Oryctolagus cuniculus: one gene and its partner. The protein of the gene in region 1 purifies or fractionates together with the protein of each later gene. This does not show direct contact. Links are inferred from orthologs where the notes say so. Each region holds a gene or a part of one and is shown on either strand. Other genes may lie near its edges.

Region 1 (3,810 bases):
AGGTGACAGATTTAGTGGCAGTTCCGAATCCCCAGAACTCCTGGTGCAGGAGGAGCAGGGAAGCAGCGGCTAAATGCTCCGGCCACTCTGGCCATGCTTTGCTGCCTCCGCGAGGCCTGCCCTGTCCTGGGCGCCGGCCCCGCGTGCACCTGCAGGGTCAGTCCTTTCCCCAGACTTGGGCTGGGCGCTGGCCAGCGCTCTCTGGGTGTGGTGCACACAGTTCTAACTCCAGCAAAGAGAGGGAACGCCGAGCGAGCATGTGGAAGACGGCAGCTGTTTCAAAGCCTCACGCCGCCCCCGCCAGCTCCGCCACCTGCAGGCTCGTTGCCAGGCCGAGCGGCCATGAGCTGTCATGAAACTTTTCTAGGCCAGGAGTCCCCACAGGGCGCGCAGTGAATGCCTCAGCGAGCCAGTGCACCCGGGGGTCTGCAGGGAGCACAGGGCCAAGGCAAGGGAAGAAAGGCAGTGCAAAGCTGCGGACGCGGCGAACGAAGTAACCAGGAGGCCGCCCCCTGCTTGTGGTTTCCAGAATGGCCAGGAAGAGAGCCTGGGTGGGTCATGGCTTTAGTGGAGCCGCCAGAGGCCGCGTGGGGAACCACCGCTGCCCGAGAGTTAGCAGGGCGACCTACCTCTGCCTTCTTCGGCTCCTGTTTCTTCACACAGAGAGACCCCAGAGACAGCTGCTGCACGTGCACCAACATCTCTGCGGAGAGGACACTGGGCTGCAGTCACCAGCTCGCACCCTCCTGGGCGCAGGGCTGAGGACGGAACGCCAGGCCAGGCCACACCCGCCCCATCTACCGGCCTGGCCTGCCACCTCCTGGCTGGGGGGCACCTCTGCACCTCCTGACAACAGAGGGAAGGGCTGGGCTGGGTCCTCGGCCTGACGCCGCGCTCACAGGAATCACCGGCGGCAGCTTCATTTGGAATAGGGGTACCTCCCGGGTCACCACGGACACTGAGGACCACTGAAGAGCTGCTCCTGGTGGGAGGCCAAGCAGGGCAGCTACTCAGATGTACCCCGGGGAGGAAGACCCGCTTCTGACCCACAGCAGGGCAGGACATGAGAACCAGTCACAAAGCGCTGGTTTTTTCAGGGAGACAGAGGCCCCCCCCCCCCCCCCAAGACCTGGAACTCTCCCCAAGTAACCTCTCAAGCCCCGTAGAAGATACTGACACCGGGGCCGGTGCTGTGGTGTAGTGGGAAAAGCTGACACCTGCAGTGCCGGCATCCCATAAGGGCACCAGTTCAAGTCCCGGCTGCTCCACTTCTGATCCAGTTCTCTGCTGTGGCCTGGGAAAGCAGTGGAAGGTAGCCCAAGCACCCATGTGGGAGACTGGGAGGAGGCTCCTGGCTCCTGACTTCGGATCAGCCCAGCTCCAGCCATTGCAGCCATTTGGGGAGTGAACCAGCAGATGGAAGACTCTCTCTCTCTTTGCCTCTCAAATAAATAAATATTAAAAAAAAAAAAAAAAGAAAAAAAAAAAGAAGATACTGACACCAAAGGGTGGGGTAGCACCCCAGACAGCACTTGGGGGCTTTCCCAGGTAGATCCACCCTAAAGCGGCTCAGTGAGGGTGAGAGCAGTTGCCGCCAGCGACTCAGGACAACAATCCCAGTGCCGCTGCTGACGGCCTGCAAGCAGGCTGTTTAGAGCGTGAGGCACCCCTACAGAGAAGAGAGGACACAGGGTTCACAGGCCGAGCTGCAGCGAGTCAGGGCCACAGCACTATGCCCAAGAGACCATGGACAGCTCCCTCAGTGCCTCGGGGGCTCGGTCTCCACCCCTGCACATGGGGACAGGCTTGTGGTGAGGATTCAGCGCGGTGACCGCTGGCACAGGGTGAGTGGCTGCTAAGGGGCTGCCTCCCTGTCTGCACGCTAGGACCATCACCCTGGCTGGAGAGGGGTGCTGCAGCCACAGCCGATGGCCTGTTCCTGGCACCTGCAGGCCACAGGCGTCCACGTTCTGCTGTTGTCACCCCCTCTCCCACCCCTCCACCTCTGCACAGCCACTTGGTGACAGTATTTTCGGCTTCCAGCTGCCAGGAGCGTACATAGCCATGAACCCTCTACCAGCTGACATTTCTGGCCCAAACCAACAACTGTGCCCTCCCCCGGTGCCCGGGGGAAGCAGTACCGTCCACGTGCAGGACCCGCACTCCCCAGGAGCGGGCGTTGGTCAGGAGGCTGCTGCTGCTTCCACTGCCGCCGCCGCTGCTGCTCCCCTGCAACGACAGAGACCGCCAGGCAGGACGTGAGACTCCCCGAGGCCTGACGGGGCAGGGGAGCGTCCCGCGGAGGGCCCTGGGTGAGCCGGGGCGTGGCGGGCGGGAGAAGGGCCTGGTGCCCAGAAGACACACCCTGCCCTGCACACGGGCTGGCCCCGTCAGCAGGACACAGCCTGCTGTGGCGACCCAGAACTGGGCTTCCAGGAGACCTGTCCGTCAGGAGGGCCTGTGCACGCAGCAGGGACACAGGATACACTGGGGACATCACAGGCACCGCTGAGCAGGACGCTGCTGGCAGCAGAGCTCCGTCTGCCAGCGCCTCTCCCTCCCCACAGCCACGATGCCCATCCCGATGGGACCTCAATGGCTCCGCTCACAGAATCACCTTCGCTCTTCCAGCTGCCATGTAACTAGACAAACAGCTACTGAGAAAACACGCCCCGAGTCTGGCCGACGCGCCCAGCAGCCACGTCCTGCCACATCTTCCAGGGCTCTCTTGGCAGGCTCGAGTGGAGCTGGCTCTGGCTCTAACGTCCCCAGGTGACGCGGGGAACTTCTCTAAGGAAAGGACAGCACGCCACCTGTCGCCGAGTGTGACTTCCGCGCGAGCGGAGAGGCCGCCTCCCTGTCCAGCGGTGCCAGGCACCCCTGCCCTGTCCTGCCCAGCTCACCTGCTTTCTGATGGCCTTCTGCAGCAGCTCTTTCCCTCTGCTCATGGGCACCTGGGGGAGAGAGCACAATGGGGTGTGCTGCGTGGCGCACAGCACGAGGGCAAACAGATGCTCACGTCTGAGCTGGTGCAGCTGCCATGGGGTCACGTCCCCCGGAAGCTAAGAGCAGAGACAGCTGAGATCAGCAGAAACGAGAGCCGAGAGAACCTGCAGGGGGCAAAAGTCCAGGTCACCCAGAGGGAGCTGCAGCTCGGGCCAGCTGCCTCCCGTGGGGAAGGCACCCACGCTCACTGAGGTCAAGGTGTGACGAGTATCACAACACCTCTTCTTAGAAGTTTGCATTCAAGTACGGAATGACTGTCCTTGTTTCACTTTAGAAAGGTTTTTTTTTTTTTTTTTAAATATTTATTTATTTATTCAAAAGGAGGAGATACAAAGAGAGAAGGCGAGAGAGAGAAGAGACAGACAGAAAGGTCTCCCACCCGATGGTTCACTCCCCAAATGGCCACAACAGCTGGGGCTGGGCCAGGCTAAAGCCAGGAGCCAGGAGCTTCTTTCAGGTCTCCCACACTGGTGCAGGGCCCAAGGACTTGGGCCATCCTGCGCTGCCCTCCCAGGTGCATTAGCAGGGAGCTGGATTGGGAAGTGGGGCAGCCAGAACTTGGACTGGCACCCATAAGGGATGCCGGCACTGCAGGTGTAGGCTTGACTTCTACGCCACCATGTGGGCCCCTAGAAAATCTTCTCCTGGTTCCTTGGAGCCTTGTGCCTCATAATGATGCCAATAGTGGATGTTCATGGACATTTTAAATAAAAAAAATTATTTCTTTCTTTTAAAGGCAGACTGACCAAGACGGAGGGAGACATGTTAACAGATACCTTCCTTCTATTAGTTTACTCCCCAAAT
Region 2 (3,810 bases), on another chromosome or scaffold:
CCCGGTTCATGTCCTGGTTGCTCCACTTCTGATATAGCTTCCTGCTAATGAGTCTGAGAAAGCAGTAGAAAGATGGCCCAAGTCCTTACACTTCTGCCACTCACATGGGAGACTCAGATGAAGCTCCTTGTTTCTGGCGTCAGCCTGGTCTAGCCCTGGCTAATGTAACCAACTGGGGAGTGAACCAGCAGATAGAAGCGCTCTCTTGCTCGCTCGCTCTCTCTTGCTCTCGCCCTCTCTGTCTCTCCTTTTCTCTATGTAACTCTGTTTTTCAAATAAATAAATTAAGAAAAAAGTATAAATTATAACAACTTTATAGAGTTTTAGTTATAATTTTGAGATTTATTAAAACTTTTCATTTGTAATACTCGTATCTTAAAGTTTATCTCTTTGAGTTTTTTTAATTTAAGTTATAAAAAAACTCTCCTTGATTGTAACCATAAATTTTTGTTTCCTTGATAGGTGTTAAAAAGGATATTGAGAAGCTTTATGAAGCTGTTCCACAACTTGGCAATGTGTTTAAGATTAAGGACAAAATTGGAGAAGGTAATTTGGGGGTAAACTTTCTTATCTGTGTAAGTTCTTTTCCCTTTTCCTTGAGCAATTTTGATTTTCATTATTTTTAAATTGAAAAATATACTGCTTTTTAAATATTATGACCATGATTATATTACTAATTATGGTAATAGATTTTCTTTTTTTCCTCCTGGGAAGAATGAAAATGTAACTGATATTTACAGTAAAATGAACACGCCTGTTTTAATCTAATACCATTACAATTTCTTTGGTATATTTTAGCATTTTTTCATTAACATCTTAAAACCAAATACTGAAAAACCTAATAAATTGTTTTTATAGGCACTTTCAGCTCTGTTTATTTGGCCACAGCACAGTTACAAGTGGGACCTGAGGAAAAAATTGCTCTGAAACACTTAATTCCAACAAGTCATCCTATAAGAATCGCTGCTGAACTTCAGTGTCTAACAGTGGCTGGGTAGGCAATTTAAAGACATTTTAATTGTACTGACCATGTGACTTGCAATATTTTAAAGTAGATGAATAGGGCTGATGAGATTGTACATGAATCAAGCTTATTTTTTTAGTTAGGTGTTTGTGATTTACTAGCACTTTTTTCAACCTTGCAAAGATTAATTAAGTTTATATTCTTTTAGAGTGGATTTCCTTTGAGCTCAGTTTGGCTTCCTGTTCTTTCACCACTTAGTTAATATTCCTGCCAAATCATAAACTTTGGTATCCATGGTTTATATTTTTTTTAATGTGGTAATCTGGTATTTCACATCTACCTAACTTTGGATGGACTCATCTCATATTTTGATGAGAATAACAGAATTACCTCTCTGATAAATCATTTCTATCAACATATGGACGCAATCTAATATCTAGTGGCTTCTGAACTTTCCTCTCTCGTCCAGTTGCTCCATTATTTCTTTGCTCTCTTTTACTCTTCCTCAGATACTATTCTGCATTTCCATATGACTTATGGTAATGATTTCCTAAAGGATGTGTCTAGTCTAAGGTCTTTTAACTGCAGATATTTCCAAATGGATGCTTGATAAATACCTCAAACCTAATGTGCCAAAAAAGCAAAAATTTTTTTAAGAAAATACTATTTTATAAATACTAAATACTATTTTTTGACTTTTCTAAATATTTTTTCCTAAATACTATTTATTTGAAAGGCAGAGAAATATCTTCCACTCACTGGTTCACTCGTCAAGTGCCTGTAACAGCCATGGATGGGCCAGGCCAAGCCAGCAGCCTGGAACTCAGTATAGATCTCACAGATGGATGACAGGGACCCAGCTACTTGACCCATCACCTGCTGCCTCACTACCTTAATCCAAGGCTAGACTACTACTCTTGCCTGTGTCTTTTGTGCCCCCTTATCCTATCTTCATACAGTCGTCAGAGTGAGCTTTATATTCTGTAACATAATTTAGACAATGTGAGTTCTGCCACCTAAAATTTTTCTGTGGTTTCCTAATATAGTTTAAGGGAAAAGAAGTCATTCCTTTATCATGCCGGTCTTCCCGACTCTTCCCTGTGCTCCGGTTTCTTTAGTTCCTCCAATTTATCTTAAGAGCTTACTTTCTTTAAGGCCACTCATTCCCAAACTCTTTGTCCATGCAAGAAGAACTCTCTGGTCTTCAAATGCTGTTATCTCTTATTTCTGCTGTAGGCAAGAGTGACATTGTTTCAAAGATGCCTTGGATTAAATTTGATTCTCCTATATTGATATATGTGTGTGTGTGTGTGTGTGTGTGTGTATGTAGGAACTTTAGGCTTTTTCTAAGCCCCGTACTGTAGTCCATTATTTATCATCTTGTTTGTTGCCCATTGTTCTACTAGATAGTTAAGTTCTCTGAGGACAGAAATTGTATTAATTTTACTTATCATTGCATTCCCCATGTCTAACATAGTGTCTCCAAATAATAGTGCCCACTAATTTCTTATTAAATCAATAAAAGAATGAGCCTGTTTCTTTGATTCACCCTTCTCTGTACTTGGTGTCTCTCTACCCCTTTTTCCTTTCTCTGCATTTCAGAAATGTGCATGCTAAAAACGTCTTCCTCTGGTCTTGCAATGCAGTTGGCAAATTGTCTTTGTGCTCTGCTTTGAACACTATCCTGGTTGCTTTCCTTAACTCCTATTTTGCTTCTTTCTTTCCATTTAATTGCTTTTAGAAAAATTACTAGTTTCCCTGTCACTCCAAAAGCCTTTACTCAGTCCTTATCCTCTGACCTCCATTTTGGGGGCTCCTTTCCAACTCCTTACTTTGTTATCCTTCCTTATTTTTACTTTTTACCATGAGACTTTTTCCAAAACTCATTTTCTCTTCTCTGTTTATGTTCACAGCTTTTGGATATTGCTTCTTTGTAAGTTTTCTCGCTTGACTTCCCAGTTAAGATTTAGTCCTGGGGGCCAGCATTGTGATGTAGCCAATTAAGCTGCCGCCTGCAGTGCTGGCATCCTATATGGGTGCCCATTTGCACTTCCAATCTGGCTCCCTGCTGATGGCCTGGGAAAGCAGTAAAAGGTGGCCCCAGTGCTTGGGCCTCTGCCACCCATGTGGGAGACCCAGAAAAATCTCCTTGCTCCTGGCTTTAACCTGGCCCAGCCTTGGCCATGTGGCTATCTGGGGAATGAACCAGCAAATGGAAGATCTCTGTCTCTCCTTTTCTCTCTAACTTTGTCTTTCAAAGAAATAAATAAAATATTAAGAAAAAAAGATTGGGGCGGGTATTGGCATAGCTGGTAAAGCCATCACCTGTAGTGCCAGCATCCCGAACGGGCACCAATTCATATCCTGGCTGCTCCACTTCCAATACAACTCCCTGCTGATGGCCTGGGAAAAACAGTAGAAGATGGCCCAAGTGTTTAGACTCCTGCCACCCATGTGGGAAGCCAAGATGAAGTTCCTGGCTCCTGGCTTCTGTCTGGCCCAGCCCTGGCCATCACTGCCATCTGGGGAGTGAACCAGCAGATGGAAGATGTCTCTCTCTATATATAACTCTGCCTTTCAAATAAATAAATACATCTTTAAAAAATTTAAAATATTTAGTCCCATATCTAAATTTTTCTTTTAAAATGATGAATTGTTGGTGTTGTTTGTTTGCTTGTTTTACTTAATTTTTTTGGCATCTACTTATTACAGTCAGTATCAAAATCATGGAAATCAACATTATTCCATTTTCCTTACCCGTTAAGAAACATTGTGATTAAGAACATTGGTTAGGAATAAACTAACAGGATTCAACTTGTAACTCAAGGGGCAAGTTTTGGCCTCGT

Evidence for each region.
Region 2: the proteins of DBF4B (region 1) and CDC7 purify together in Homo sapiens (affinity purification with mass spectrometry; 3 studies listed by BioGRID and IntAct, counting the BioPlex papers as one, with this or other methods). This does not show direct contact. The link is inferred for Oryctolagus cuniculus from reciprocal best matches to the Homo sapiens genes DBF4B and CDC7.

The regions. Positions count from the first base shown.
Region 1 is NC_091448.1:17,992,412-17,996,221, reverse strand, and holds part of DBF4B (protein DBF4 homolog B), read right to left. Parts: intron 2,955-3,810; coding exon 2,904-2,954; intron 2,230-2,903; coding exon 2,142-2,229; intron 704-2,141; coding exon 630-703; intron 1-629. UniProt on the Homo sapiens protein: Regulatory subunit for CDC7 which activates its kinase activity thereby playing a central role in DNA replication and cell proliferation. Required for progression of S and M phases.
Region 2 is NC_091438.1:79,107,371-79,111,180, reverse strand, and holds part of CDC7 (cell division cycle 7-related protein kinase), read left to right. Parts: intron 1-462; coding exon 463-546; intron 547-858; coding exon 859-994; intron 995-3,810. UniProt on the Homo sapiens protein: Kinase involved in initiation of DNA replication. Phosphorylates critical substrates that regulate the G1/S phase transition and initiation of DNA replication, such as MCM proteins and CLASPIN.